Schizosaccharomyces pombe: one gene and its partners. The gene in region 3 interacts genetically with the main gene of each other region. Each region holds a gene or a part of one and is shown on either strand. Other genes may lie near its edges.

What was found.
Region 1: mutations in ade6 (region 3) and tsc1 impair growth when combined (synthetic growth defect), as found in Schizosaccharomyces pombe (one study listed by BioGRID).
Region 2: of ade6 (region 3) and sup35, a mutation in one rescues a mutant of the other (synthetic rescue), as found in Schizosaccharomyces pombe (one study listed by BioGRID).

Annotation. Positions count from the first base shown.
Region 1 is NC_003424.3:671,067-683,524, forward strand, and holds tsc1 (Rheb GAP, hamartin Tsc1), read right to left. Parts: upstream 7,194-12,458; 5' UTR 7,173-7,193; coding exon 4,473-7,172; 3' UTR 4,255-4,472; downstream 1-4,254. Other genes in the region: THO complex subunit Tho2, read left to right, coding at 1-4,254; G-protein-signaling regulator Rgs1, read left to right, coding at 9,110-10,555. UniProt on the Schizosaccharomyces pombe protein: Together with tsc2, required for uptake of various amino acids from the environment and for proper conjugation. Involved in induction of gene expression of permeases and genes required for meiosis upon nitrogen starvation.
Region 2 is NC_003421.2:1,527,641-1,538,511, forward strand, and holds sup35 (eRF3-like class 2 translation release factor sup35), read left to right. Parts: upstream 1-7,758; 5' UTR 7,759-7,812; coding exon 7,813-7,942; exon of another isoform or gene 7,943-7,976; intron 7,977-8,025; coding exon 8,026-9,884; 3' UTR 9,885-10,371; downstream 10,372-10,871. Other genes in the region: met10 (sulfite reductase NADPH flavoprotein subunit), read right to left, coding at 1-1,852; Cu metalloregulatory transcription factor Cuf2, read left to right, coding at 4,486-4,517, 4,568-4,660, 4,705-5,113; SPOM_SPCC584.03C (GTPase regulator), read right to left, coding at 5,382-7,037; SNARE-binding protein Sec1, read left to right, coding at 10,567-10,594, 10,633-10,673. UniProt on the Schizosaccharomyces pombe protein: GTPase component of the eRF1-eRF3-GTP ternary complex, a ternary complex that mediates translation termination in response to the termination codons.
Region 3 is NC_003421.2:1,314,577-1,324,638, reverse strand, and holds ade6 (phosphoribosylaminoimidazole carboxylase Ade6), read right to left. Parts: upstream 8,359-10,062; 5' UTR 8,303-8,358; coding exon 6,644-8,302; 3' UTR 6,604-6,643; downstream 1-6,603. Other genes in the region: prohibitin Phb2, read right to left, coding at 18-284, 492-795; rpl3402 (60S ribosomal protein L34), read right to left, coding at 2,717-3,052; transporter chaperone complex subunit vtc4, read left to right, coding at 4,049-6,214; mitotic spindle checkpoint kinase Bub1, read left to right, coding at 8,707-10,062.

The DNA of each region.
Region 1 (12,458 bases), on a different chromosome or scaffold from region 3:
AGTACTATTGGTGCTTTTGATTTAGATCCGAACAAAGTACTGGATTTGATTTTGTTGCTTTTTTCTGAAAATTTACTTGATTCGTGGCGCTTTTTCCTTTCTATCTTGAGAAACAGCCCATGGGGTCCGAATAAAGAGCGGAAATTTTGGAATCAGTTACCTGATCGCGAAAAGGAAACATTTTTAAATAATCTGTCTAATGCTAATGGTATTTTTAATTTTGACGAGCGATTCACCAATACAAAGAGCATAATGTCTCAAGTTTTGGGTCATAATTTGCAATATATGTATAAAGAAGATGACGAGAATTTGGAATCTTACTTTATGATGGTTGCTTTGTTGATTAAATATAATTTTATTAGCATTGATAACATATGGGCTCATCTTTCTCCATCAGATGAAGAGCTTGGTAAAGAGTTGGGTAAATATAAGGATAAATTAGATGAACAGACTTTTAAGGCTAAAGGAAATGCTTTAACAATGGCGGCCCCATTGCCCGACGATGAAATTGAAGACGGAGAAACCATGGATGGCCAGAAAGCTGAAGCTGTTCCTGAAATAAAAAAAGCCAAACCTTCACAGAAGCTGGGTCTACTAAAATCTTTATTGTCCATCGGGGATTTATCTTCATCTCTATTAATCTTGGGTCGTTATCCATTTTTGTTGAGGGCGTACCCCGAATTATCTAACTTGTATCACAAACTTTTGCATATTTCTATTTCCTCAATTTATGCAAATTACAGTCCATTGAAATTGTTACCAAATGATGTAAGGGAACGACTTAAACAGCCAAAGTTCATTCCTGAAGACTCTAGGCTTCGAGAAATTACCCTGAGGCCTCCAAAGGAAAAAAATTTAGTGTTTTCGTTGGATCCTTTTGCTGATCGATTCAACAAAACTGAAAGTGAGGTGTTTTATTACTTTGAAAATTATGATGAAGATATACCAATTTTACGTAACTTGACAGAGTTCTACAACATAGCTATCCCATGGTTACGTTTGTCAGGGCTTGCTCTGTGTCATGATCCTGTTATAGTGACAAAGCTTTGCCGCATTGGTCAAAAATGTGTCGATAATAGCTCTGAGAGTCGGACATTATGGCTGGATATTATTAGATCGCTTCTTCTTCCTCTCATCACACTTATTGATGTCAATACTGGACTTTCCTATGAATTATTTGAGTTGCTGTCAAAGTTTGATTCATCCACTCGATATGCGTTGTATGGTGAATGGTCAAGTACCTCCATGAAAAAGTTTCCGGAGCTAAAGCTACAAAATTCTATCACTGAAAAGGAAACAAAAGGCATCTTAAGAAGGTTAACGAAAACAAATGTGAAGCAATTTGGTAGATTATTGGCTAAAGTCTGTCATTCGAATCCATGTACTGTGTTTTCGATCGCTTTAAATCAGATTGAAACTTATGATAATTTAGTTGAAGTTGTAGTTGATAGTGCTCGTTTTATTACAGCATTAGACTTTGATGCATTGACATTTATTATTTTATCTTCCTTTTCCAATGAGTTCAAAAAGCGATTGAAATCTGATGGAACTAGTATAGCTCATTGGCTCCAAGGTTTAGCATCTTTTTGTGGCCGTGTATTCAGAAGATACTCGAGCCTCGATTGCACCTCTATCGTCGAATATGTGATTAAACAGTTTAAAGTGAACCAAATGTTTGACCTTGTTATATTGAAAGAATTGCTTTCGCAGATGACTGGGCTACAACCATGGACAAATCTCTCTGACAATCAGATTCAAGGGGCTGCTGGTGGACCAGTTTTGCGACAACTTAGTTTATCTCTTATATATGAAAATCCGGACGTTGTTCGGAAAAGTTCCATGAGACTTTTTAATACGCTGCAAAAGAACGGATTGGCAACCCAGCTATTGGTACTACTCTCTCAAAAATATTCGACCTGTATATATGATGTTACTGATGAAAACTCTCATTTAAAACTTATTTCTTCTCTTCAAGACGAATGCTCTGATGTTCTTTATCTTTTAATGGAATTTCTTAATATGGTTTGCTCTCCAAAGAGCTATTATAAATTGATTCCTTCATTTGAGCAATTAATTCAAGATTTTCATATTCAACCTCAGGTTGCATTTTATCTATCGCGTTACAAAAATTTAGATCACAGTTTGACTGGTTCAAATACTGAGGATGCAATGGATATTGATTATGAAAATACTTCATCTCCAAACACTGCTAGCAACCCCGTTTGGAGTATTGACAATTCTGTCATAACTGAGTTATTACCTAAACAAATTTGGGATTATTTTTCACCTAATTTTTATTTAACATTTTGGAAGCTATCGCTGTATGATGTTTTTGTTCCCTTGGAACGTTATGAGTTTGAGCGTTCTCGGGCTTTTGATCAAATTAGGCAAACTGACGCCGCTAACACATTTTATTCACGACATCGACACGACCGACAAAAAATAATGCAATTGTCTAACAGCTTACAGAATGAACTTAAAGAACACATTAATTCACTTGAGAGTGTAAGAAAAGTTTTGCAAGGTGACTGCGTGAAATGGTTTATTCCAAATGGTGTTTTTCCTAATGGTACAAGACTTGAGCATGCTAGATTCAACTGTGCTCGGTATTTGTGGACACTCTGCATTGCTCCCCGTTTAAAAATGAGCCCACATGATGCTTTGTACTGCGCAAAGTTTGTAAAGCTTTTGCACAGTCTTGGAACACCAAACTTTTCAACTATGTCATTTTTAGAAATTTTGTTTAATTCACAATTGCCTTCATTTATTTTTTCAATGACACAACGAGAGGCTGATAATTTTGGAAGATTTTTATACGAAGTACTCTATGATATTACTAGCTGGTACAGGGACAAAATTCTTTACGAACGCGAATGTTTGGCAAATGGTGCTTTGCCTGGGTTCAGGTTATATTGGTCTGACGAACAAAATGATCCCGATCTTTCCGCTGTCCTTCCTTATAACAAATTTGTTTTGCTATTTAGTAAATGGCACAAATATCTAACATCTTATTTTGAGTCATGCTTACTATCTACTGAATATATGCATATCTACAATAGTGTCATAATCTTGGAAAAAATTTTGCCATGTTTCCCATTGATAATTGAAAGTGGCAGTGCTTTGAAACGAGCCGCTGAACGATTAAAGGACGAAGAAAAACGAGAAGATTTAAAGGTTTTGGCTTTGGGGTATTTTGCAAAGCTCTCAAAAAAGCAACCAGAATGGGTTTCTTTTAATTCATTTTCTGGTACTGTAAGGCCGAGTAATTCAGAAAAGCTTCAGAGACCGCAACAACTTTCAGTGGCAGCTACATCAGCAGTTGATTCCAAAACTGCTTCCATATCGGAAGAACAGGCAAAGATTGATAAACAGAAAGTAGCTTTGAATCCTAGTGCACCAGAGTTTGTACCTGATAGTACGCCTTCCGACGCAGTTGCTTCTGAAACTGACAATAAAAATCTTGTTGAGAACAAGGCAGTAGAGAAAAGGGTTGAAGCTAGAAGCTCAGCTAATGAAAGAAAACAAGAAGAAAGACGTAGAAAAACAACTCCTGAAGGAAACAGACGTGCTTTACGAACACGCACCCCTACGAATGAGGATATACAAAGATCAGACAGTAAATTGCGAGAGGATCAGTCTAGAGACCGAACACCTCAATCAAGAAGTTTTACAAATGAAAACAACGATAATTTAAGGAGCGTGTCTCGTCATACTCGACGCGAGCCTCAGCAAGCACAAAACCTAAATGCTAGGCGTGAACATGAATCACAGAAATCTGACAGATGGCGCCAAAATGGAAACGTAAATCGCAACCCTCGAGTGTCTAATAACAATAGCACTAATGTTTCAAGAGAGCGCTCGTCTGAAGCTAATCATAGGACAAGCAACGATAATAAACGTGATGAGGTTACAGAAGGGAAAGATAAAAACAAAAGGCAAGATATTTCTGGCGAGAGTAATTCTCGGCAGAATAATGCTATTAGTCGGGCTGGAAGAAGTAATGGATCTAATAGGGGAAATGATTCCAGAGATGCAGATGGTCGTCGTAGCACTCATTATGCTTCAAATAAACGTCCCCGATCTTCGGATAGTCAAAGCCCGAGCAACCTACGAGAGGAAGATGAAAGAGAAAATTCTCGTCGTAGGGCCAGGCAAGACGACCGAAGGGATCGGGATTCACGACAGCAAAGAGATCGTCCACGGGATAGAACATCTCGATCTGCTCGAGAAGAGAAAAGAAGAAAAATTCAATGATCCACGTTTCAAGCTTTAACTAGATGTCAGCTTTTTTTTCTTATCTAACTAAATTTGTAATTACAAGGAAATAATGAAAAATCTTTATATAAGGAGATTCATACACAGAATTATGATGGTCGTGAAAAATCGTAATCTAATTATTTTATATGGAATGAGCAAGTATGTTTTATCATAATTGACCAGTTCATTTCAAGGACCTTCAAAAATATACCTACTTAGTATTGGCGAAACGTAGAACGACTTGTATCAGTAGACTGTCTACGTGGCGGGCCAACTTTAGGATGCAAAGAGTCATTACGAATTATGAACTTGCTTTGTTGCAAACCAGGGCTACTGTGTATTGAGCTTCCAGTATCAACAAGCGGTTTTTGAAAGTTTTTTAATTCTTCGACCTCAGCTTGTGATTCTAAAAACTTGCCCTCCAACTCACGGTACCGCGTTAATAGCTCATCGTAATTTTCTTTTATTTCGGATATTTTAGACAACTGAGCGTCGTAATTTAAGTTGACAGGATTATGCAACTCAGGTGCGTTCGCTTCAGATGAAAGTCGTTTTTCCAAATCAAAAATCTTAGCCTCGTAAACAACATTAATGGCTTCCAGGTCCTTTTTCAGTAGCTCAATATTAGCTTGAAGATGCAAGTTTTCTGATTCCAGTTTCATTCGATGTTTTTCTGACTCGATCAACTCTCTTTCTTGCTCATCACTAACAGCTTCACTGTTAGAGAGAATCATACTACTGTCCATCTTCGTATTTCCAAAAGAAGTATCAGAGCTCGAAGAGACTTGCTTTTTGGAGATATTAACGCAGCTCAAATGCTGTTCATATTCTTTCAACTTAGTTTCATAGAGTTGAAGCTTCAACTCCAGTTGATTTTTTGAAAACGCAATGTCAATTTGAGAATTTCGTATTGATTCCAATTGCGAGATTAATGATTCAATTGATGATTTGAGTTCTGATTCTTCACTTTTCCAAGCTTTCTTTTCTTCTCGTAACGCTTTTATTTTGTTGTTAAAATCATTTTCCCACTTAACCCTACGATTTAGAGCTGCCTGTGATTCTGAGCGATGTTTGTCAATTTCAGAATTCAGTAACTCTATCTGAGCTTTATATCTTTTGTTGGTTAAAAGCAATTTTTGCCTTTCTGATTCCACAGCCATATCTAGTATGTGCTCACGATGAAGCTTTCCAATATTTTGCAAGTGCTGCTGACGAACAAATTTTTCAAAACGGAGCTCATTCTGAAGAAATAGCAGATCCCTTTGTAAGCGTCGAATTGTATCGTTCGTGCTGCTCAAACTTTCACTAGTCAGTTCCAAATTATTTGAGCCGCGTTCACCTTTAACCATGTGAATTGAGGAAACACCTTCACTATATGATGTACCATGCGAAATATTATCATAAGAATCTTCAGTATTTGATAATTGGGCTTTGTCAAATGTAGTCGCGGAATGAACAGAACCCGATATTGATGGATTTTGAGGCCAAGATATGGAAAAAGGCTCAGAAGCAATATCATGGCTTTCATTTGGATAGGCCAATAATCCAGTAGCTGAACTTGTCTCTTCATAAGTGGTGGGAAGCTTACCACCAAAAGGATCCATAACACTTTCGGCTATTCCAACAGCGTTAAGACTATTACATAGGGCCACTACAGCAATAGAATCAAGTCTTGTCCAACGGGATTTATCGGTAAGTTCTGTTTCTGCTGTATATTTAAGAAAATTAGAATGTGCCAAATGTCTACCGAGAAGACCATCCGACTTTGTGGAGAGGAGTTCTTGATTAAAGGAATAACGTATTTGGAAATTATGTTTAGAAGCATACAACTTAGGATCCCGAAGAAACTCTAAAAAGTTTATAGGGTACAGAGCGTACAAAATTGAGAAAAGTTGAGAGTAGTCAAGACTTTCGAGATAATCTGGTTGAGAAGAACCAACAATATCATGAACATCATTGTAAGAGCTATCTGTTTGAGAGGTGGTAGTTGAGGCATACGTTGACATAAAATCGTGAAACACCTCCCAATTACCAGACGCAGTAGACGATGGGAAGCCAGAGGTCGGGTCAATCATTGAAAATCGAAGATAGATACAGAACAATCTATATAAGGAATCGTCTAAGGAGTTACAAATGTGAGACAGTATCATAAGGATGAAAGATAATGCATACGACAGTAAGATTGGTGAAGTATCAAATTCCGCACATTTTAAAACAAGGTCATAGAAGCCAGTCTGTGGTATTTCATATAAACGAGGACCTTGCCGCCGTATTACTTCAACCATAACTGATAAAATAGGGATTCGGGTTGGAGGATTTAAAAAATGATGACAAAAACAAGAAGAAAGTTCCTTTGGTCTCTGTATCCCATAATGGACGAGAACATTAACCAAGCATTCAATAGTTTGATTCCTTTGCTCTTGAGATTCCACGTCACCTAGATTTTCGATAGCTTTAGAAACGTAAAGGTCAACCAAACGAGTGATAGTTTCCTCAGCGCACTCCCGTCTCAAGTCTCCACCCCATTCATCCTCGTCGTGAAAAATTAAAATGTAAAATAAAATACTTTTCAAGTCACTAAATACCGGTTTCAATTGGGTAGGAGAATTCAAGAAAGGAAAAAAGATCTGGTCCCACCATTCACCAACTGCTTGGCGATCCAAAATCAACAACGGTATAACCGTTTTCAACACAGCTAGCCATAGTATCCGTCGCCTTGTATTATTGAACGGCGTCTTTTCGTAGATCTCGTCCAAGATGTGTCTTATTTTTTGTGAGTTAGTGGGGTTTTGTTTGGGATAACGCTGCTGATACGACTCAACTTCCGCAATTAACTCAGTCAAATCGGGATAGCCTTCCGATTCTTCTTCATGAAGGACGTTCCATAATGCTTTGACTAGCGATTGCAGCGGCATTCGTACAAAGTTGGCAAAGTCAACGTTGATATACAACTATGCGACATTATACTGATAGCAAGTCTTGGCAGCATTGATAAACGTAACGAGGATAGCGTAGTCTGCCACATTTTTTTAATTAGTCTTTGCATTTTCAACCAAATTATACAGCGCTATCCAAAAATCCTTTAACTAGATTACATGTCAACCATACAGGTCGTAATTCGTTTTTAAGATACGATAGTACTGCAATGATATTTTTTAGTGTAATGTACATAGTATAATAAATTTATTGTAAATAGTTATAAATATCCTAAAATACTCGTTAAGAATACCAAGAAGTATTTATAATTACACTTATATAGCTAAAAATTGAATTGAGGAACGTTGTTTTAAACAAGCTTTATTTGAAGGAATCATAAGTAGTAAAGTAAGTTGTAATTTTTATCCAAATTATGTAAACATCATCTATACCATGGTACTTGATCCATCTCCAAAATTTAAAGAATGTATTAAGTATTGATTTCTAGGACTATACAGTATAGTAGGCAGTGTTCGCATTTTCAGCACAGAGGAAATACGAAAGCAAACAATGCGAAAACACATTGAGAGTTCTCTGAATAAACATGTAAAAATAAAAAGAAAACGGTTTTACTATTAAGGATTCCTAGGGAACTTTTCTTTCAAAGGAAGTTAGAGGGCAAATAATTTGAGTCGGTCTAATATTATGGTAACATATTCAAGCACTTTTAACGACATACTCTTAACTGCTATGTTATTCCACAGTGTGTTACAGTCACTTAGAGAGAAAATATTTCATTAATAAAAAAAAACTTTTATAGGGCAGGTGTAAGAAGCGTTGCAAGGCGCAAAGTAGAAAAGAATATAGTCATGGAAAAGGGAAAGCCGGTGCTTGTAAATAATTACAAACACCAATATTTTTTAATTTATATCTTAAAGTCTTCCAAGTTGGCGATGTAAAGTTTCATAACAAAAGCCATTTCATTTTCATTGCATATTTTGGGGTCATTTCAGTACCCAATGGAACTAACAGGAGAGATGCAGTGAACAACTAAGAAGTATCAAAATATCTGTAACTGTTTATAATCCTTTTTTGCTTACTTCTTTTACTTTTTGTTTTTCCCCAGTCTCCAGGAGTGCTGGGTAAGCTTTATTTACCAACCATCTGTGAATTATCCAGCCATAGCATATCTCCTTCTACTAGTTTATATAATATTTCCTTTCAAAAAATAGGCAAGCGACTGCATATCCTTGTTTAAATGTCTTATTTTGATTCTTTTTTTATTATTATTCAATCGGTGTTATCACATGAAATTTACCGATTCATTAAAACCCCTTTCGGAATAAGTTGACGAAAGGTGGAAATTGCTACCTGTTTTCTTTGTTCTGCTTTCTCACTGTTAATTTGTTGGGGTAAACAAATCAATTGCACAATGTTCTTTGTTCCGTTAAAGTTCCCATTGTTCGCCATTTAATGATTTCTTTGTTTAAAAGAAAGCGTATAGCAATGGTTAGATGGGAAACTTCGAAGTATAAATACTAAGGCATTTCCCGAATTTTCATCAGTGTGCCTATATCGACGTTTACAAAATTGCTCCAATCCTTCATTCGATTTTAAATTTAATAGGGATCAGACCTATTGAAAACAGCTGGAGACCTGATTTAGTATCGAATTACCCGTAATTGATTATAAAAATTGACGGTAATCAAGAAAGTGGGACTATTACTATATATTTAAATTTCTTTTATCTTATTTGAGTTCTGTACTTCTCTTTTATCTTTTAAAAAAATAAAAGAAACAATATTTAACACTCCATTGTGCTTGGCTGCCCGATCTCTGTCGCTTTTTCGCTTAGCAAGATCACAATTCTTTTGTTCATCACTTTATTATTTATGATAAAAGGCTACAAATTCGTAAAAGTAAGAATCAGCTTTGGATGCCCGCCCTTCATAACCCTTCTTCACCACCGCCCAGTTATGAAGCTGTTACGTCTTATCGCAACGGAAATTCAATAGATTCCGGCGATAAACGTCAACAATGTTCTCGATTAATGAAAATTACCTCTAATGGTAGACCCTATAGCAAGGACTTTTTGGAGCTCTTCTCGACGATGGTAATTTCTACGAATTTTTCTCGGAACAGGTACAGATTCTCATATGTGGAAAACTCTTGTACCTTATTGCAATTGCTTTCAACATTGGAAAATCTTCAGCTGAGTCAGGTAAACCGCATTAAAAGTAGATGCGGCAGTAAAGTCTTAAAGTCTACTACCAAATTTACGATACCTAAGACTGCTGCTAAATGTTTATGTAATACATTTTTAAATGCTCGTTTGCTGCAAATTGTAAATAACCCATCGGCTAGAAAATTTTCAAACGAAAAATGTCTTCTTCAACTTACAAGGAAAGGTTACTCTGTTGTTAGTGAGTTTCTACAACATAACGGACATAATTCTCAAGCCGAGCTTTACGCTTCCAAATGGAATCATTCTGCGCCCGTCATTGTTTCCATTTCGCGCTTTTCAAGTACCGATCAAATACTTAAGGATTCTTCTTTTTGTGAAATGTTGCTGGTACGTATGCTTGGAAGCGTCCATGAAATTGGGAAATCTAAAAACCCTCTTCTGGTACCCGTTTACTCCGTTTCAAGTCCCTCTCCAAAAGACTCCTTAAGCAAAGTCACCAAATACCAAATGTTTGGCATTGACATAGCTGAATGGCTTATGTGTAACACTATGCTCCTAGACTGGTCGGAAATGGAAACTGTTGCTAGCGATTTGTTAATTCATTCATACATTGCTTACGAAAATAATTCCGAGACTCCTTTAAAGTTTAGCTATGCAAAGGGTGTTTCCTATTTTTTGACTGGAAAGGGAATTGCGACTCTAGGATGGACTAAAAATGTCTCCAATAATAAATTAATTAATAAAATAAATGAAGTCGAAAAAGGATCCACCAATAAGGAAATCCTGGAAACCATTCTTAGAAAGCCGAATCTACAAACCTATTTCTTTGAATTTCTGAAAAAAAATTTTTGTGACGAAAATCAACGATTCTATTCTGAAGTTTGCGAATTTAATGACTATTTTTCTCATGCTAATGAAACTAATGATCATGAAGCAATTCGCGAAAGTTTTGCTCATGCATGCGGTATTTACAATTGCTTTCTTTCATCTAATGCACCTAACGCCGTCAATCTTCCCAGTGATCTTTATGAAAAAATAACCAACCATATGGCCTTAGCCATGGAAGTTGAACCCCTAAATGAATGGCTCCAGTTAATTCACATTCTTTTATTAGAGGCGCAAACAGCCGTATTAGACCTGATGGCCGGCGATTCCTTATTGAAATTTCTTGAATTGAATGGGGGGCTCGGTATTTAATGCATAGAAAACAATCGTGTTTTAAATCATTCATTAGCAGTTCCTCTTGTTTTTGTACATATTTCTTATTTGCATTATTATTTTTATTTTATCTCATTACGTGTCTATTACTGATCCTTTCCATCGCTATGCTCTGATGCTTCCGTTTTCTCGAACAAGAATCATATGCTTATGTTTCAAGGATGAACTTATAAGGCTATAAATGCTTTGCTAACATATTTGCTAACTGAGTAGAGAAAATCCGAAATGAATATATGAATTAAGCATTATTATTTTCGGTGAACATTTGAATATCGAGATGATAAATCTTGTAACTATGATCTATATAAAGATCCGAACACTTAAACGAAAATCGAATTTGAAATTAACTGGCTTAATTAAAATTTCAACCTCTTTTAAACTCTTTTTCGCCAGAAGCTTCAAACACTGAACTAACCCTCATCAAAAGAAATTGAATTTAAATAAAGTTGACAACGCCTAAAGAACATAGTCATTAACCAGCATCAGCACAATAATTTTTCATTAAATTATGAGCAATAAAATCGAGTTTAAGTGTTTACTCTACTTTTACATTTAGCTAAGGCTATATAATTTGGACAACGTATGCCATAGTAATATTTTTGAAGGTCTCAGGGTTTCTCAATTTATTTGTGTTAACCAAAAATTATGAAAATATTTAGTTGATAATCATTTATAAACCTTGTTTTTTTCACCAGATTTCTATGTTCTTGAATGGGATTAGAATCCACAGGTTACTTAATTCTGAAAATTATAGACTGAAAAATGTATTTAGGAGCATATCCTATACAGATAAATTTTTTAACTCAGCTAAAGCTTAAAGTGAAGTTGCTTTTTAGATAACTGCTGGAAACCCTGTTGTAAGTATGGCCAAGTTGTTATTGAAGACACCGGAAATTATTACCGGTAACAGCAGGATTCTTTCGCTACTTCAAAAAAAGTCGATTAAATTACTACCTAGATATAATTTTTTGACCTATTTAACTCTTCATACCAAAGTTAATAAACTTATTATTGCTTTAGAGTTATTCAACTCATCCAATTGACGAGAAAATCTATAGCATCGTTTTCCAACGTATTTTTAAATCATATTTTACGAAACTTAGTGCCTATTCTCTCATACATAATACAACTCTCTCCTGTGCATCAGCATCAATTTTTACTTCAATCTCATAATAAGTGATAAACAAGAAAGAATAGAGAAAAGTAATTTATTAAATAAAAACAAGGAGTCATGGACAGATATAATCCCCCAAGAAGGAATGGCAATTCAAAAAAAAATGAAGTCGTAATTACCGGAGGACGTACACAACGAATTGACTTTGAAAAAGACGTAAATAAAACTACTATACTTCCCCGCTGGAGCTTCGGTAGGCCGAAGAGGCCGTGGAGCTGGTTGGTATTGTGAAGCATGTAACGAGACATATAAAGATTCTTTAAGTTGGCTTGACCATCTAAATAGTACACAGCGTATGTTATACCTTTCTGTTTAAAAGTTTACTAATCTAACTTATTAACAGATTTACGAAAAACTAGAACTGTCATCATCGAAAAGCGCGCTACATTAGAAGAGGTTAAAGAACGAATGGAATATTGGCGCAGACAATTATTAGAGCCAGAAAAAGGATCAGAAGAGTACAGCTTGAAGGAAAGAGTTGAACGGTATCACCAAGAATTAGAAGCTAAAAAGCTTCGGCGGAAGCAAAAAAAAGTAAACAAGGAAAAGAACTCACCTAGATTAGTAGGTGAGAATACCGAACTGGCTGCTATTATGGGTATAAGTAGCTTTGGCTCAACTAATTTATAAGAAATCAAATAATTTGATATTTCTATATTTTTTTCGTTAATATTTTGAATATTGTGTTTACACATATCCAATTAGTGT
Region 2 (10,871 bases), 220 kb from region 3:
GACGAAGGGCGTCCTTCTTTTTGTAAGCCTCGGGGAAGATGATCTGCTTGGCCACTGTCTGCCAGTTGGAAGATTGAGGGGTGATATCCTCATCTAAAGTCTTCACAGCGTTGGGAGCAAACGAAGTTTCCTTCGCGGTACTTGGCAACTCCTTCTCCGAGGGCTCGCGATCCTTCAAAGCCGAGGCGTCTAAATTAATGAACGAGAGAGATTGCTTAAGTGAGTCAACAGCATCTTTCAAATTCGTGTCAGTTAAATTATTTTGCTTAGCCAAAACAGCCAAAGCCTCGTCAACACCTAAACCAGGCTTGACGAGTTGAATAAATGAAACCAACAAAGGCAAGTTCGAGGCATCGATGGCAAACTTTTTGGGATCAATAAGCACTAATTTCACTCCTTTCTCCAAAGCATCAGCGATAAATTCGTATGGAAGTTTCTTAGTTGCTTCATCTGGTGCGATGGAGGACTGTAATAAACAAATAGAATGTTCAGCAGCCTTGGCGAGAACACGATAATGTAAAGGAAGTCGATCAGTAGTTAAAATAGTAATATCAGCATCAACATCTTTAACAACATCTGTTAAAACAGCGTTGGCCGTAGAAACTTGGGCAACGGTAAAACGGACGCCAGCCAAGGTCAAGTTGTCAAACAAAGGACGGAAGGCAACAGATCTCGATTTATCGGTTCTATAGGCAGAAACTAACGAAAGCACCAAGGAATCACCGACATCAGATTCCCAAACGTTGATGCTCTTATCAACATGAACAGCTTTGGGAGTAGCAGCTTTCAATTGCAGGGTCTCGTGAAGAGCATCAAAGAGAGAGCTCAAGGTGACGGACTCTACTAAGGAGTAGCGATGCTCGGAAATAGCAAGCGCTGAAGGTTTAGTGCTCAACAGTGTAGCAAGTAGGAAGGAATAGTAGATGGAAGAAGTTCCGACAGCGGTAGAGCGAACCTGGGAAAGAACAACAAGAGATTTGCAAGTAGTGGGAAGAACATTGAAAATGTTTTCAGCAACAAAAGGGAAGATACGGATAGAAAGAACGCCCACATCAGGATTGGCAGCCAAAAGGGCGCGAGCAGCGACGGTTTCAGACTTCCCAAAAGTTACAATAACCTTAGAAGCGGTTTGAGATCCGTAATACTCGGCTGGAGCATACGAAGTGTTAAAGTAATCGTTGACATGCTTCAAAGCCTTGGAAGCGTTGGAGACAGGATCAGCTTCGGATTGGTAAGAGTTGAAGCACTCAACCACGGCGTTGGAATCGAGAAGAGGAAGGCTGGGATCAGTTGTGGTGACAATGGCATCCGGCTCATACACATGAATGACAGGAGCAGCCTTGGCAGCCAATGTACTGGCCAAAGCGAGGTGAGCAGCCTCGACATTAGATTGCGAAGCGAAAACGGTGAAGTTGTTGGCGTAAGAAAAGTCTAAAACACTCACGTTATCAGCGCAATAGGTTTGTTCGAGGTAGGCCAAAGCTGCGACATGAACAACAAGAGGCTTACTAGCTCCATAGAAAGGAATAATATTAGAAAGCAAGGGGTTCAAAAGCGATAAACAGCTGGAAGGTGTCATCATGGAGTAGACACCAGGAGAAGAGATTGCTGCAGTGTAAGAGCCCAACAAGAAAGCGGAAGCGCCAGAGCGAGCCTCCAAATTGAAAAGTTCAACATTGTTGGAAAATCCGTTTCTGCGACCAGAGTTGTTCCACTGAGTCAAATAACGGTTCAAAGGAACGTGTTCCGCGTAAGAAAAGATACGGTTGGAAAGAGAATAAACAATATCTTCAATGATTTTGTGCGAAACATCGAATTTCGCAACTTGATCGGAAGAATCAGTAGCAACCATTTTGAACCAACAAATCAATGATTAAACGGAAGAAAATAATTAAAGAAATTTAAAATTTTGATTAACAAAACGTTTCAAAAAATTAAATAATATTTAATGAAAAGGAATGTTGAACCCCAAAAAAGAAACCAAAAAATCCAAATGTATGGAGAAAAGTGTCAAACCAAAATTTTTCGTTTTGACGAGCTTTCCAAAAAAAAAAAAAAAAAAGAAACAAGTATGCTTTTATTCGCTAAAAAGTTAGAAATCTGTTTCTTAATTAAGATACAGCTTTAGATTCAAAATTTCGCCAAAAAAATTAACCGTTAAACGTTTTAAAATTTTGGTGTATTTTTTTCTAGTTAAACTGTAGATATAAATGTTCAGTTGCAAATGCCTAAAATTCCTACCAAACGTGGAATTTACACCTAAGCAAAGTACTGGGATATTTAGGTATACTTGGTAAAGAGTAAAATTGAGAATTTAACAAATAAATAAACCAGTTCGGAGAGCTACTGCTTGCGTGATTGCGCTTGTGTATCACACCAATTGTTGCTACTTTAAAGCGACATAATCGCTTAATTTAAAGGTATAAACAACGTATTCTTTCAATAGCTCGTTATTCTTATTAAGGATAATGGAGGTGCTTTTTCTTACTGTAATTAAAGAATTGTTTGATGTCAGCAATACTACACTACGCTATAATACACTACGTTGCGTATCACTATATGTCACATGTTCTAATTATATATAGTACCATGTATGATACGATATTGAGATTGATCTTAATGATAATCTATCAAGATCTATATTATCTGAATAATATAAATAGAGCTACTGCTGAACCTCGTTCCTCAGTTCAGTTATAAGCTATATTAGTGATAGGTAACATTATAACTCAGTTAATACAATACCTATACTCAGTTGCTACTTATACAACCTGTGTATTGTAATATAATAGATCACAAGGAAAACTCACCGCAGTTCTACGTATCCTTAAATCAGATACCAAACTGCGTAGCTTACATTTGAAGGGATTTAACAACATAATGGAATGTAGTTGACAGATGTGACGTTGTATATCTTTGAACAGGTATACAGAGATTTACGGATACCCAGACGATAAATAACGACCGTTGGGGTTAGCAGTTTTATTCTCATCAAATTAAGAAAATGTGTGTGCAAGGTAGTTATTGTTTTTATAAGGTTTTCTAAATTTCAATACTTTTAGTAGTCTCATCTTGTAGCAATCTGATCAGAAAGACATTATCATCTTTCGCATTCTGAAAAACATGAAATAGAATGTCAAGTGAATTTGAGTAAAGAACCGCACGTATTGATGTGTTCGATTTCAGCAACGTACTTGATTTTAGAAGCTCCATTATATGATTTTAGTTTAGCTAGTTAGTTTTATCTCCAGAAAATTGACAGGTATTCAATATTTACTGATTTATTCATAGTGCGCTAAATGCATCTAAGTACTGTGCTGTAATTATGTTCATTATACCCAGTATATCAGCATCTAGCAGCAAATATACATTTATGTAAATACATTTACATTTCAAATAGTAGCATCTCCAAATCGTCACAAATTGTAGAATTTACATATCTTTTTTTAAAATACTGAACGTTCCTTAATTTGATGAAATCACTTCGTCTACATTTCTATTATGTGACAATATTTGTAGGTAGCAAATATTCAAATTGATTAAAAGATTTTTTGAAATCGAAAAAAATTGTGAGTTTAATCATACCTTTCTGAAAGAAATATTTCAATTTTTTTTAAAAAAATTTGAAGGGTCTGACAAGCCTACCTCATTTTACATTTACTTTCATTTAATTATTTTTTTAAACCTGACATTAAAACAAAGTAACTCGATATAACCCTGAAAAATAATAATCAATTAAAATAAATGAGCAATCAATAAAAAAGTTATTATGTCTTTAGGTTGCAAACTTTTAAGCTGTTTTGTAATCTGAAAATCATATATGTTATAATATAAAGTAGTATATTAACAAAATCCAGTCTTTATAGCATCTGGTACCTTTTGCAAACAAAAGTTATTTAACAAGTTTAGAGTGCAGAAAATCGCAAAACTGCTTAGAGAATTGACGCAATCATAAAAACATAGAATGAAATCGCCTCGAGGAAAAATCACAATTTGATCAGTTTGCACACTCATTAAATCAAAATTATCTTTTCTACGAAATTGTGCTCAAAAACATTGAACATAGTGATTTAATACCTTCCTATTTTGTATGTTATTGTTGGTTAGTGTCAATAAGTTGATGTATTTGTTTATCCCATAATATGTAAACAAATGTCCATAGCTAGAGCTTATAAATAATTTATGCCAGCACTCAAACTTTTGACAAACAACAAACATTGGAAATATTTAAAAGTAAAGTATATTATTTTAAAACACTTAGCTGTTCGTCTTGTCTTCTATTAATATCCGTTGTGCAATTCTTCTGGATCAGAAAGCTAAAGCAGAGACGAGGAAAAAGGAATTTGGGAAAAAGCTGTCATTTACAATTTATCAACCTAAAGGAAGAGAACGTATAAGAGGAATTTATTTAAAACGTTCCTCGACTAGCTTATTTACTCGAATCCTACTTGTCTTCTTTTCCCTTAATCACAAATACCTTCAATCATGATCATTATTGACGGTAAGAATTATGCTTGGTAAGACTTTTTGTATGGTTATAAGATAAAATTTTTAACACTTACTCTAGTGTTGTATGCCTTCGAGGTCATCGAGGCTCATCCTGCCAGCATCAAGAAAGGGCACTGATAGAAGTTCGAACTAGAGGAAGGCCGTTACTATGGTATGTCACATTGATCAGAAAAAAAATATTAACTTGAAATTCAGCAAAAAATGCAGAGCCATAAAACAACAACTTAAGAGTAATTTAAAATGCGTTTGTCATTTGCAGCCTTTTCTACCCTTCGCCAATGAGTATCAGGAGTTATTAAATTTCACTCAGAAAAACCCAATATTGGCTAGCCTTTTTTTGTTTTCAACCGACAAAGATATTATGAATTCTTCTTTAAATCCTGCAAGTCAAGCCTACACCTTCGATTTAGGAAGAACACTACCCATCAGTGAAGATATATTAGGATATAGGAAACCTCTTTCACTAACAGATGCTTCTAATCGCATTGATGCAAGTCAATTGAATGAAAAAGAAAACGATTCTTTTACCATAAACCAAGAGGCCGATATTTTCAATTTCGCAAAGTACTTACATTCCAAAGACGATATATCCGGAATCCCTTGAATTCACAACTTTCGTTATTATTCCAAATAGCGACAAATGAAGGTTATTGTCATATCATATGTATAAGTACTCTCACATAAAGTATTCAATCATAAAAAGATGAAGTAATTTGAATGTTTTGGTCGTCTAAAAAGGTGCATATAACATTAGAGAAATCTATGTATTCAAATTTACTGGGGATCAAACACCATTTCAAGGATTTCCCATGGGAAGTGAAATTTAGAATAGTTGTGTATTGAATAGCGTCAATATTACTCTGATAAAGTTTTCACGGGTTTTTCTTTTCTTTTTCCACATTTAATTTAGCCTGGCAGTTGATAACTTTCGACGATGATTCAGGCTCGGAATGAGGAATAACAGAAGGGTTTTCTTTTAATTTAATCACAGAATCCTTTGAAATGAGGTCCTCCTGAGGAAGTAAATTGGACTTCCGGACAGAAGGGCTAGCCATCAATAAAGCTGAATCCTCTTCATCAACATTTTTCGTTTGACGTGTTGAAACTTCAGGGGTAACAAGAGGTATGTTTTTAATATTCCATGGTGACAGAAACGTTGGTGTCGCAAAAATTCCAGAATGTCTGGAGGAGGATACTGAACCTGGACTGGCGCTTAGTTCACTTCGATTTTCTAAGGCATTATATGAAGCCGGATCTCGGGGCCTCTCTCTTCCTTGATAATCTTTAAGATACAATGCAATTTGTTCGTCAGGTAATTGTAAAACTGATTCTTGGGTAGTACTTTCGAGCGCGCATAATCTAATCAAATACTCCAGTAAAGTTAAATTAGGTTGATCTTTTATAGTCGATGGAAAGGAAGACTTTTTCTTTGCAACGGATTCTTGTTTTTTGATGCCTAAAAGCTGTAGCCTAGCAGCTTCAGAATCACTAAGAGATTCTGCAAGTTCATCAGATTCGTCTAATGATTCATTAGGTATTGATACCAAAGGAAGTGCTTCTAAAGCTATCCAGTTCGAAGGTGCTGTATTTGAAGAATACTCTGTTTCATCATCTGCATACTTGAGTAATAATACGGGAGTTTGTACATCATCTAACCGAAGAAGTTTACCGGACAAACTAAAAAAAAGCGTGCGCACATCATTTAGTGAAATGGTTTTGGTGACAGGAGTCTCATCTTCATCATGGTAACGATCATCATCAAAAGATTGTTTTAAAGATAAAGCATAGGCTAGAACCGTATCCTTGGACTTCAACCGTTGAGGAGGCATGCGAAACATTTTGGCGATACAAACAGGCATCTCTTCTTTCCACATGACTAAATCATTGCTTATATAACCAGACTTGGCGTGGTTATCTATAATTTTATAAGTTCGCAGGAAAAATGTGGGGCCAACTTGTAAAGGTTCATTTCCAGTAAATGCAACATTCGCCCTATATATGTATGAATTAGCTCGTAGAAGTTGGGAAAATGAAGTAGATTTTGGAAGAGAAGATGAAATAGAAGCACCAGAAGTAGTGATGGACAGATTTAAGAGAGGAACTGCATCATTAATTTTGAGAAGTAAAGTTTTCATTTCACGAAGAATAGACGTATCAACGTTCTTCTGCAAAGTTTCTTTTTCTGAGGAAGGCGGAAATTCCGAATGAGCGGCGCTTAAAACATGCTTGGTGAATTGTTCGATGTCAGCGTGCAAAGAATCCACTAATTGCTTAGTACTCTTAAAATTTTCATTTTCACCGACTGACATTATTTCAATTAGTTCGATAGCAGGCGTCACAACTCGAATCATTTCAAGCAGTTGAGTTTTCACAGACTCCAATTCACTTTGATCATCTGCAGAGGCACGTTTAATATAGCTGCTAACTTGCTGAACAGCTAATTTTCCTGCAAATGATATACTATGTTTCAACGCGAAGTTCGTAGCAAATGTCGCAGCATGAGAAGCTACATTAAGTAATTCATCCATTTCTAAAAAGGCGGCTTTAAAAAACACAAGAGAAAACAAGGCTAAACAAATAAATAATGGTCATTCAAATTGTATTTATTCCTTTTAACAACAAATTAATAACGAAATAAAAAGAAGCGTAGTAAATTGAGAACCAAATAGAACTTGCGCTAAGTCATAGTGATATGTGGAGGATAGAAGTTTAATATCCAAACACGCCTATAGAATTTTGTATAAGGAAATCCTAAAGTGAATAATTATATAATGGATTTACATATTGAATCTTTTGGAACTTGCTTGGTATATATTTTGAAGCTGTAACGCTGATTCATCGTTTCTTCCATGACAAAATCCTTGCAGTGATTATTGGTGACAATGGAGACTAATTAACCAATAGATTTAAAAACTTTTGATTAATTGTTCAACCCAATAGCTAATAAATGTTGTGTTTGGTATTAAGCCCACCGAAGTTTCTGTTTTTTATCTCCCAAGGCAAGTCAATATATTTTACCTGTTTAAGACAATAATAGCGTATTACTGAAGAAAAAAGCGAGAAAATGACCAATTTACAATTCAGTTGCTTCCGATTTTACAACCAAATGTAAAATTAAACTCAAATATAATATTTTATGAACTTAACTGAATTACTATAGCACAAGCTTATATAAAGGATGCTAATAATATCATCGTAAGTACTCGTAATATTATATTATAAAAGAATACACAGTGTATACTGTGGTGTAAATTCTCTTCAACATCACCGTCCCTTTACCACATATTTTAATAAAGGCAAAAAATGGCTAGTAATCAGCCAAATAACGGTGAACAGGATGAGCAACTCGCCAAGCAGACTTCTAAACTGTCGATGTCTGCAAAGGCACCTACGTTTACGCCTAAAGCTGCTCCCTTCATTCCTTCTTTCCAACGTACGTTTTTTAATTAGAACACCATCCATATGTCTTGAGATGATTGCTTGTTTTAAGTAAAAAAATTATTAACTTCTTGCTAGGCCCCGGATTTGTACCTGTGAACAATATTGCTGGTGGTTATCCTTATGCCCAATATACAGGCCAAGGACAAAACAGCAACTCGCCACATCCTACGAAGAGTTATCAGCAATACTACCAAAAGCCAACAGGAAACACTGTTGATGAAGATAAAAGCCGTGTCCCTGATTTTTCTAAAAAGAAGAGTTTTGTGCCTCCTAAACCAGCAATTCCCAAAGGAAAGGTTTTGTCCCTGGGTGGAAACACCTCTGCTCCTAAGTCTACAAAGCCCATTAGCATCAGCCTTGGTGGAACAAAAGCTCCTACAACTACCAAACCAGCAGCACCTGCTGCACAAAGCAAAACAGAGACCCCTGCACCCAAGGTTACCTCTGAGTCAACAAAGAAGGAGACCGCTGCTCCTCCTCCCCAGGAAACTCCTACAAAATCTGCTGATGCTGAACTAGCAAAAACACCCTCTGCTCCAGCAGCGGCTCTTAAGAAAGCTGCTGAGGCAGCTGAACCCGCCACTGTCACTGAGGATGCCACCGATTTACAAAATGAGGTTGATCAAGAGCTTTTGAAGGATATGTATGGAAAGGAACATGTCAATATTGTTTTTATAGGTCATGTTGATGCAGGAAAGTCTACCCTGGGTGGTAATATTCTTTTCTTGACTGGTATGGTTGACAAGCGTACTATGGAGAAAATAGAGAGAGAAGCTAAAGAAGCTGGTAAAGAAAGTTGGTATCTTTCTTGGGCTTTGGACAGCACTTCTGAAGAACGTGAAAAAGGTAAAACCGTTGAAGTTGGTCGTGCTTACTTTGAAACCGAACACCGTCGCTTTAGCTTGTTGGATGCTCCGGGTCATAAAGGTTACGTTACAAACATGATTAATGGTGCTTCTCAAGCTGATATTGGTGTTTTAGTCATTTCAGCGCGTCGTGGTGAGTTTGAAGCTGGTTTTGAGCGCGGTGGTCAAACTCGTGAACATGCCGTATTGGCTCGTACACAAGGCATCAATCATCTAGTTGTCGTTATTAATAAAATGGACGAACCTAGCGTTCAGTGGTCGGAGGAGCGTTATAAGGAATGTGTCGATAAGCTCAGCATGTTTTTGCGTCGTGTCGCTGGATACAACTCAAAGACTGATGTTAAATATATGCCCGTTTCTGCTTACACTGGTCAAAACGTTAAGGATCGTGTTGACAGTTCGGTTTGCCCGTGGTATCAAGGTCCATCTTTGCTAGAATACTTGGATTCTATGACTCATTTGGAACGCAAAGTGAATGCTCCATTCATCATGCCTATTGCCTCCAAGTATAAAGATTTGGGTACCATCTTAGAAGGAAAGATTGAGGCTGGTTCGATTAAGAAAAATTCAAACGTATTGGTTATGCCAATTAATCAAACCCTTGAAGTTACAGCCATATATGATGAAGCTGATGAAGAAATCTCTTCTTCTATTTGCGGTGACCAAGTTCGTCTCCGTGTCCGTGGTGACGATTCGGATGTCCAAACTGGTTATGTTTTAACATCCACTAAAAACCCAGTTCATGCTACTACTCGTTTCATTGCACAAATTGCGATCCTTGAGTTGCCTTCAATTTTGACAACTGGTTATTCTTGTGTAATGCACATTCATACCGCTGTCGAGGAAGTTTCATTTGCCAAGTTGCTCCATAAACTTGACAAAACAAACCGCAAAAGCAAGAAACCCCCCATGTTTGCTACCAAGGGTATGAAAATTATTGCAGAGTTGGAAACACAAACTCCGGTTTGTATGGAAAGGTTTGAGGACTATCAGTATATGGGCCGTTTCACTTTGCGTGATCAGGGTACTACGGTTGCAGTTGGCAAAGTCGTAAAAATTTTGGATTAGGGTAATTTCGGCAATTTTCTCGTGCTCGGGATTTGTTTCTATGCAAATGTATGACACTTTATGGTTCTACTGTATATAATCCAACTAGGACAAAATGGGATTTGCTTATTTTTTAGTTGGTGGACTAGCGGTATGGTAGAAGATGTATATCTAATCGTTATATACGCGTATTACTATGCCTAATTTCAATGCGATGGGTTGTATATATGAAGAATAATGGACATTCACTCCTTTACACCCTATTCACTTTGAAATTATTTACTTTTTTCGTACAGAATTCAATGCGAGGAGTAGGTCAGCAAATAGTAAATAAGCAGTTGCACTTTGCAGCTATGGAAGGGTGAAATGTGATAATAAGTTGTTGTTTTTTTACAATCCATATTAATGATTAAAACTACACTTGAAATCTTCATAATATTGTAAAATAATAGTTTATTTAAATCACTAGATATACTGAAATTTATTGTGCTACTACACCAAATCTTACCGAATAAATACCGAGGTGGATCATATTTACAGTAATCCGATCATTCTACCGTTTACATTCCACCAGCATTTCTGTACCGTATCCGAATTTCACGTACTCTTTTGACGTTGCTTGGTTTTAAGAGTAAGCATTGAAGTGTTGAAAGGTATAGTTTTTGCTATTCCGTTTAGGAATACGGGACATTGACGTTTTGAGATGACACTGCTGGAGCTCCAAAAAGAATGTATGGTTATTTGTGCTGGTGTATTACTAACAAATAAGTGTTTCTTAGCAAAATTAATTCAGTAGAATGTGCTACGAAGGTAAGAGATGGAACCCGTGAAACTTATAACGTGCACTGAAATGTTTACTGGGAATTTTGATTTGGATATTGTTTAAATGGAATTGAATTTGTGAATATGCAGCATATTATTTCCTCCGACATATTTTTTTTAAACTATCAAAATTGGCCTATTTCTAATTTGGAGCCGTTCAGTTTCACATCTTTGGCTTTTGGTTTG
Region 3 (10,062 bases):
ACTAATGTTAGTCATACCATGAGTAAGTGAGACATCATCAAGCAAAATATTGAATCGGGCTGCTCTCTTCATTAAATTCTCGCGAACCAACCTAGATACACGTTCACGCTGGGTGATCAACTGGCTTGCATTAAATTGAGCTACAACGCTTTTTAAGACTTCATTAACAATAGAGGGCAAAACACGTTCATCATAATCACCACCTAAAGTACGATAAATTTTTGGCAAAGCATGAACATCGGGACGAGACAAAACACGACAATTAATGTTCACCATTTGTAAATCTAAAGAAAAATGGTTAACATATTTCTAGTAATACAACCAACAAAAACCCCTCAAAGCTTAGCTATTCGAGAAGAGTAGAATCCATAAACACAATTCATCACTTTGCAACTAAAAGCTTAATTCACAGTAGGTATAAAAACCAAATGAATGTTTCTTACAGTCACCTTTAGTTATGTACGCTCAACGTTTTAATTCTTGTAACCTACCTTTCGTTCCGGTTAGAGAAGATATATTTCGTGGTTTAGCACGAACATCGTAATCAATGGCCGTTTCGATCCAAGGAATCAAGAAGTGGGTTCCTTCAGGATATATAAGGTTTTTAATTCCTCCAATCCTGCTATACTTAATAGCTCGGTGACCACCATCAACGTTAAAAAGAGAAGTCTGCACAGCAAATCCTGCAAGGCCAAGAGCTAACAACAAACCAGTTCCTGTAAAAGCATATTTTCCTTTAGGAAGTCCCCGCTTCATCAAATCATTCATCTGCTGGAACGGTCTTTGACGATTCATACTGAAAAGCTGTATACGGGAAAGAAAGACTTGTAAAATGAATACGTATAAGTAAGCATTTAAAATGGCACTTCAGTATACCTTATCCATTTTATCGTATTGTATCATAGTACGGTATTTGAGTTGGATTAATGTTGTTTTATATGCAAAAAAAAAACAAATAACTCGATAGTTTTTTTCATAATTTTCTTTTATTTTATTGATATTATAATATAAAATTAGCAGGAATTGAATACTGCTATTTTTATCGCTTTGTAGTGTGCAGCCTTGATAGAAAATGTGAGGTGCGTCGTTTTATTTCGCGAACAAGTTGAAACTTACTAAACTTCATTCATTATATGATTTATATTTTTTTTCTAATTACAAACAAAAAGGTATTGACGTTTTAATTTTAAAACTTGCTTTTTCAATAAACGGTGAACGATGTGCATTTAAAATCTAAACAAAAATATTTTTTCCCATACCTGTTATTTTGTTTTATTTTTTGAAACAAAAAAAACTGTAATTAATCAACTGTCTGATAAATAAACGAAGAAAAGCCATCGGGGACTCAAAAATATAAGTTATCAATTACATTTGCATTGTACGTTTAACAGCATTCTATGATTGAATTTTATAAAAGGTATGCTAAGACAATAGAATATTGCAACAATGTTACAATATTTAATATGAAACCGAAATTTGTTTTGCATTTTCTTATTTACTATCTTTTGGTGCAAAAGCACACATAAATGAATTTTTCTAGTAATTCTTTTACTTTTAATTTTCTTTGTAAACCTTCTTTCGATTTAATGTATAGACGGGCTTTGTTTTGTTTACAATAAATAAAAATATCTGCAATCGATACTCTACGAGACATAATTAAAAAAAAAAAATAAATAAAAGTAAAAATAAAAAGACATAGGCCCTTGGTCACAATAGTGATTGGTATAAACGAGAAACATAGTAATATGAATTATAATAGTCAAAAAATGTATACATGATATTTAGTAGTATTATAATTATTAGACTAATTTTTTGAAGTATATCTAAGGATCAAAAAGAAGCTTTATTGTTATAACATGTATTTTGAACAAAAGCTGCATAAATGAAGCATCATCCATCTTAGCGCAAGCTCAGAAGTAATATATACATAAAAGAAAATAGCCAACTTTATAAGGACTATATTAAAGATAAGGCCTCCCGAGGAGATTTGAAAATATTGTACGTTTGAACAAGCAAAGTAAAAAGGTAACGTCAAATAAACCTCGGAAGAATATATTCAATCTTTCAGCTCGTTTGAGATAAAAGTCATCATAAATTACTTAGCATTTATTTTAGCTGTTACGTCTACCTGGCACAAACCTGTACTAAATACGAGTAATTCTTTTCACTTTCAAATAACAGTAGTTTTCTTTTACGAAAGTTTTATCTGCAGGAGTTTCGAAAACGTCAAAAAGGAAAAGTAAGTAGCTCAAGTGTTCGCAGTTGCTTATATGAATCGTAAATGTATAATCTTACTCTTTTGATTTACTAATAGCGTATCCTTCTATGCCTGGCAATCGATAATCCAACAAGACACAACTAATAGTGACATACAATTGATGAACACTGTATCAATATCTCAAGACGACACTTAAAAGTTAAGGGATACATTCTACAGCAGGTCAAAGTAGATACATTCATCATAGTGTGTTTATTTCAACTGTTTCTATTTGTAGCACGTTGCTATTATAATTGGTTTACATTTTTTTAAGTAATCTAATTTTTGACGTCTTAAAAAAGTCGAAAACGAAGCTTATAACTAACAACAAAATAAAAAGAAGCACAAACAGAAAATGAATACCAAATACCAATTTAAAAGAGAAGGAAGCTGATCAAAAATTAATATAGATTGCTTAATTCAGTGACGCAATATAATTAATTTCTGTTTTCATGAACTTTACTTTTGAGACATCTGCTTCAACTTTTGCTTTACGATCTTCTGCTCTTCAATCAAGAAGGCACGAACAATTCGATCCTTGACAGCATTGGCGCTAAGGCATCCACCATAGGCACGTTGGACCTTCTTCTGGTTGTGCGAGAGACGAGCGAACTCACGAGGACGCAAAGCAGGAATACCTTGCAAGGGAACACCGGTATCACCGCAGCGAGGTATAGTACCAAGCTTCTTAATATGAAGGTAGCGAATGTTATTACCGGGAGTCTTGATGATTCTGGTTTTGTTGCTACGAGTGTTGTATGCAAGACGACGACGATAAGTAACTCTTTGAGCCATTTTGAATTATGAAATGAAAATGAAAATAAAATTATTAAAATTTTACAGCGCTGATTTGGTTGCTTGAATGCTATTCCTTAATGAAATATTCCTAACTATCCTTTTCCACCGAAAAAAAAGGCAATCGCAAAATTCAAGTGTACACGTTCTTTTTTTCTATAGAACCCTTAAATTTATGATAAACTGACCAACTTTGTCCTCTTGTTTTATACTTCTTCTGTTAGAAGTGTAAGGCGCACGGAGAGTTGATTATTGCTCTGAAAACCAACTTTTTGCGTGACTGTTTGGGATCGTGAAACGGATATATCGAGGCATAACAAACTCAACGCAAAATAACATAATGAATTATACTTAACTGCTTTAAAATGAAGATTATTTGAAATCAGAAATATCATGTTTCGAGGACATTTTGCTTTTTAATTTGCATCAGATTTTCACACCTAAAAAATCAACTTCTTCAGCTTTGAAATTGATTTTGGATCGCCTTTTCCCGATCTTGTCAACTTTTGAGTTATTTCATCTTTACGCCACTACCACCCTGACCATTTTTCTCTCCACCACACCTGCAAACTACCAACGTTCAAGCTCGTTTAATTACAGATATATTTACAGTTTTTTTTTGACTCTACAGAGTTTTTTTTGGAGTTACCTTTTTTTTAATTTTTTTTGTGCTTAAGTTATAGCTACAAAAGTGCTTGTTGTCTCTTTGATTGTTTTGTGAACAAATTTTGTGATATTGAAGATTTATTCGTAGGATATTACTGTTTGGCACTTAAGTTTGTCAAATACTAGTAAAATTCCCAAAGAGGAAGATATTATTTCCCGTTTGCAGTTGTTTTTCACTTTTTTTACTCTTCGTCGAATTTTTCAAGGGATCACCTAATAACAGTCTTTGATATTAAAAATTCAATCATTCTTTATTCCCAAATTTATACGTTTATTTTCCCTTGAATCCCTCTTTATTATTTACTAGATTAACTTATTGAAAATTGCAACATGAAGTTTGGTCAGCTTTTGAAGGAAACGTTGATGTATGAATACAAGTATTCATATGTCAACTATGACAAACTAAAGAAGGAAATTAAACGCCGCAATGATCAAGGTGGTTGGAGTGAGGAAGACGAGTCGGACTTTGTTGAACTTTTAGAAAAGGAGCTGGATAAAGTTTATTCTTTTCAAAAGAACAAGTCTGCCGAAGTTATGGAACGTATCCGATTCTGTGAAGAACAAACTGATGAAGTTGTTCGTCGTCTTGATAGTGATAATCCTCCCAATGAAAATGATTTTGCAATCTTGGAAACTGAACTTACCGACATTATGGCTACTGTCCACGATTTGGCCAAATTTAGCGAACTTAATTACACTGCGTTTTATAAAATCATCAAGAAGCACGACAAACATACAGGTTGGATCCTTAAGCCCGTTTTTGCTGCTCGTTTAAATGCTAAACCATTTTTCAAAGAGCAATATGATTTATTGGTTGTTAAGCTCAGTAAGCTTTACGATTTCGTTCGTACTAGAGGTAGCCCTATCAAAGGTGATAGTGCTGCCGGTGGTACACAACAAAACTTCGTGCGTCAAACCACTAAATATTGGGTTCACCCAAATAATGTTACCGAATTGAAGATTTACATTTTAAAGCATCTTCCTGTACTTGTTTTCAATCCTAACAAAGAATTTGCTCGTGAAGATGCTGCTATTACTAGTATCTACTATGATAACGATGATTTGGATTTTTACTTAGGCCGTTTGGAAAAGCGTGAAGGCGCCGAAGCTATTCGTCTTCGTTGGTATGGTAATATGGATAACAACAATATCTTTGTTGAACGAAAGACTCATAGAGAAGACTGGACTGGTGAAAAAAGTGTGAAAGCTAGATTTCCCCTTAAAGAGAAATATGTAAATGCTTTTCTCCGAGGTGATTACACTGTCGAAGAAGCATTTGCCAAGATGCGTAAAGATGGCAAGAAGTCTTTGAAAGAAATCGAAAGTCTTGAAAGGCTTGCCAAGGAAGTTCAGTATACTGTTTTGAGCCGTGGAATGAAACCTTATGTTCGCAGCTTTTATGAACGTACTGCATTTCAACTTCCAGGTGATGCACGTGTTCGTATTTCTCTTGATACGAACTTGTCATTGATTAGGGAAGACGGTCCGTCCCGCGCCGGTAACAACTGGAGAAGAATGGATATTGGAATTGACTATCCTTTTGATCAACTTCCTGATGAAGATATTGTTCGTTTCCCTTATGCCATTTTGGAGGTCAAGTTGCAAACTCAATTTGGTCAAGATCCTCCTGAATGGGTTAACAATCTTGTTAATAGCCACCTGGTCGAGGCTGTCCCTAAGTTTTCCAAGTTCATCCACGGTGTATCTACTCTTTTTTACGACCGTGTTACTTTGCTTCCATATTGGTTCCCACAAATGGACATTGATATTCGTAAACCTGCTACTCACACTTTCATTCAGGGACGCAGTCAAAGCGGTACTCATAGTTCATCTGTCTCTGCGAATGTACTCACCGATTCTGAGAATACACCAATTCATGCCGATGGTGACAATTATGTTGACGAAGAATCTCGTATTGGCTCATCTAGTACCCGGAATGACAATTCTACCTTCCAAACATCGGACAGTTTTCAAGAGCTCGATGAACGCACTAATTTGCTTGATATTTCCAAAAGGAAAGGACGTGACTCATTCGTTGCAGCTCTCAACAGCAGATTAAAGGACATTAAGGATTCATTTTTCTTGGAGACTGTACCCAAGTTCGAAGAACCTACTGAGCCTACGGTCATATATGAACAAAAGTATGTGTCGCCTCCTGGTAAGCGAATTTATGTCCCAGTCCGTGTTGAGCCCAAGACATATTTTGCCTTGGAGCGTACATACCTGGACTATCTACGCTATTCTATTTTGATGGGTTCCATCGGTATAACTTTATTTAGTTTCGCTAAGACGCGATCTGGTATTTTAGGAGCTGCTAGTTTCACGTTGGTAGCTTTATTTGCTATCTTCTATTCCACGTTTTTGTACTTGTGGAGAGCTGTTAACATAGCCAAACATAATGCGGTCCGATATGATGATCGTTTTGGTCCTACAGCTATATGCGTGATTACTTTTGCTGCAATCAGCGCCAATGTTATCTTAAACTTCAATGCATAAACTCATTGAATTCTCCAATATATTTAGAATTAGCAATTGAAAGATAATACAAATCAACTACATCTTTTAATAATTGAAGACTAATTATCGGTTTAATAACTAGTCTTAATATTGCATTTTTTGCATTAATATGCGTTAATTTAATTGGGAACATGGTCAACGGGGTTTTATTTGGGTTTCTTACTATTATTTTTTGATTGCTTTATAGCATATTATATTGGGTTCTTTAATTTTCTTTCAACTGCTTCACAGCACATTATTCAGGATTCTTATTTTTTTTAATTGCGTCGCAGCACATTATTCGGGGGGTTTTTATTTTTAATTTTTAATCACTTTTTAGAATACATTTTACAATCTAGAATTTCAAAATAAAATATTATTTAAAACAAAAAGCAAGCAAAATCATTTAACAGTTATGTCTATGGTCGCCTATGCAGAATAATTTTTCCAACCAACTTTTTCTAATTTATCAGCCTTTTCTAAAACAATCTCTTTCATATTGTCCATAAAGCTCTCCATAGCAGCCAAAAGGGAGGGTTGAAATGTAGCAAGTATACGACAGGCTAAAATACCGGCATTTTGGCTATTATTGATAGCAACAGTGGCGACAGGGACACCTCGAGGCATCTGAACAATAGAGTGAAGAGAGTCAACTCCGTCAAGAGTGCTTCCTTTTACAGGAACGCCGATTACTGGAAGAGGTGTCATTGCAGCAACCATACCAGGCAAATGAGCGGCACCACCAGCACCAGCAATAATCACACGCAACCCTCTTGAAGCTGCGGTACGAGCATAAGTAACCATGCGATCTGGTGTGCGGTGAGCTGAAACAATAGTAAGTTCGTAAGGCACCTTGAATTCATCTAAAATGACGGCAGCATCTTTCATCTTGCTTAAATCAGAATCCGAACCCATGATAATACCAACAACAGGTGATTCGACAGGATCTTTGACGTCAAGAAGCATCTGATACCTACGTTCACATTCTTGAGGTGAATCAGAAATGATGGTAACGTGTCCCATCTTGCGACCCTTTCTAGATTCAGCTTTACCATAAAGATGCAAAGTTGCACCGGGAATGGACAGAGAACGTTTAGCGATCTTTGAAACATAATCAGGATCATCAGTACCTAAAATATTTACCATCAACGCATGAGTTGTGGAAGTCGAGAGTTGGGTGTTGATTTCGCTGAAAGGAAGACCACATATGGCCCGTAAGTGAGCTTCAAACTGAGAAGTTGGGCAAGCTTCAATGGTGTAGTGACCTGAATTGTGAGGCCGAGGAGCAATTTCGTTGAGTAAAATGGTCTCACCATCTTGCAAAACAAACATCTCTACACCATATATACCAGCGCCTTCAAAAGTGCGCACCGCATCCATGGCAAGGGTTTGAGCACGCTGTTGAATTGAGAAGGGAAGACGAGCAGGGGCATATACTAAATGACAAACATTATCCTTTTGAATGGTCTCAGTTGTAGGATAAGCATAAACTTTTCCGTCTAAACTGCGTACTACCATCACTGCAATTTCCATGGAGAAAGGAACGAACTTTTCAACATAAAGCGGACGATCACCAAGTGCTTTGATGGCAGTAGGAATCTCAGATGGTTGATGAACAACGTAATTTCCACGACCGTCGTAAGCCAATGTTTTACTTTTCAGTACAAAAGGATAACCAAACTCTTGGCCTGCTTTTTCAACACTTTCCTGGTCAGGTGCATCGCAAAATTCAGGAAGTGCAATCTTAAAAACCTGTAAATGCTGTTTTTGAAGATATTTGTCTTGAATGCATCGCAGAGTTGCAGGAGAGGGTTCAACAGCAACAGATTTCGTAACGGCTGCCAAGGCATCAGTGTTAATATGCTCAATTTCAGTTGTTAATAACGTGCACTTCTTAGACAGTTCAACAATTGCATCGGGGTCAGTAAATGATGCATCAATGTGCTCACGTCCTCCATCAATTTGTTTGGCAGGAGAATTTGCTGCATCCAAGATGATGCATTTGATGTTTAAGCGATGGGCTGCCTCTACCATCATTCGGCCCAATTGACCACCTCCAAGGATCCCTACAACCTGTTTTTCGCTCATATTCGATGAAGTATGTATATACCTTGGCAGCTCAGCTTAATGAGATGGTAAATGTTGAAAAAACGAATCTTTTTTTCAAAGTTGTTTATTGTAGTGAGTTAGTGCGCAGTTTATTATTTGAGTTTTGCATCGTATTAATTCTGTCATCGTTACATTTCCAAGCATTGTGAAATGCAACTTTAAAGCAGCATACGCTAAAATCAATATAGCTTTGCTATTTTTTCAAGAAATAAATGTATATGTCGTTATCCATATATAAAGCAACGTTTGTTGTCGTTATACCTTATACTGCACCAGGCTGGATTTCGTTTACCTCACCACCAAGTTGAAAGAATACTTGTCGTCGAACCAAGTGCAGAATACGGTCTATTAAAAGTCGTCCATGTTTCAATGTGCGTATCACTATGTCCGATTGGCGGCTTACAGAAAATGTACTTGACCAAAACATACCTGAAACTAAACCCAGGGAGTCCAAGACTCGCCTCGAGGAAATTCAGCGATTAGCATTGTTTCAAGAGGAACTCGACATTATCGAAGAATTGGATGACCCCGTGGATGTTTGGTATCGCTGCATCGAATGGCTCTTGGAAACAAGATTTTTGGGCATGGAAACGGTCAACAAAATGCTTGATGATGCTATTCAGTACTTAGAAAGATGTCGCTTCGCGCTTAATGATGTTCGTCATCTTCTCATACAGCTTGCGAAAATTAAACAATCATACGAAACTCCTGATGAATTGCAACAGGCGGCCAAGCAATTTTACCAATTGGCATCGAAAGGCATAGGCCTTGAACTCGCTTTGTTCTACGAAGAATATGGTTCTTTGCTCATTAGAATGCAACGTTGGAAAGAGGCTTCTGAAGTATTTCATGCAGCTGTTTCTCGAGAAGCGAGGCCTTTGGTTCGATTGTTAAGGAACGCTGCTGAGTTCTCTCGTGCCTACGATTTGCATAACGCTCACCCTTCTATTCATGATGCACCCTATTCTTCTCCATTTCCTCCTCCTCGTATTGTTTTGGGCTCAAAGCCGGTTTCATCCTCTACTCTTCCTTCAAAGCCTAAATCCTTTCAGGTTTTTTCCGATGCTTCATCTTCCCGCGACTCACAAAATGCTTCTGATTTGCCTCAGGCAAAATCCCTAGAATCCGAAGCGAATACTCCAAATCTTCCCCTGCTCTATGATAAGAGCTCTGGTAAGCGAGTTGAGTATTCTGCTTTTAATTTCCTTGCTTTGTATGAAAATGGAGAAGAAAGGTCAATGGAAGAATGTCGGGCGCAACGTTACCTTTCTTCAATTCAACCAAACACTGCTGCTTCTTTCCCGAAAGTGGTGCCAAAAAATGAAATTTCAGTGCATCATGATTCATCTTCATCCAATGTATCACCTATTTACAAGAACCCTGTGGCCGAGCAATCTGATACTCCTACACGTTCTTTACCAAAAAATTATGCTTATGTTGCAAAGTCTACATCTCCTGAATTAAAAGTTTTTGATACAGTAATGCCTGTTGCATTGTCTCCAAAACCAGCACAAAAACCACCTTCTCCTACCATACATACGAAAGCAGCTCTAGCAGATATTTTAGATATTTTTAATCAGCCTCTTCGTTCTGAATCATTGGAAAAGTCATCAAAGTCTCCTATTTCTGCTCAGTCATCCTATTTGGGTACACCGCTAAAAAATGACGAAAATTCATCTAATTCTGGAGCGACTTCTTTAACTGGTCGCTCACAAGAAGAGCACTTAGACTTTATACCC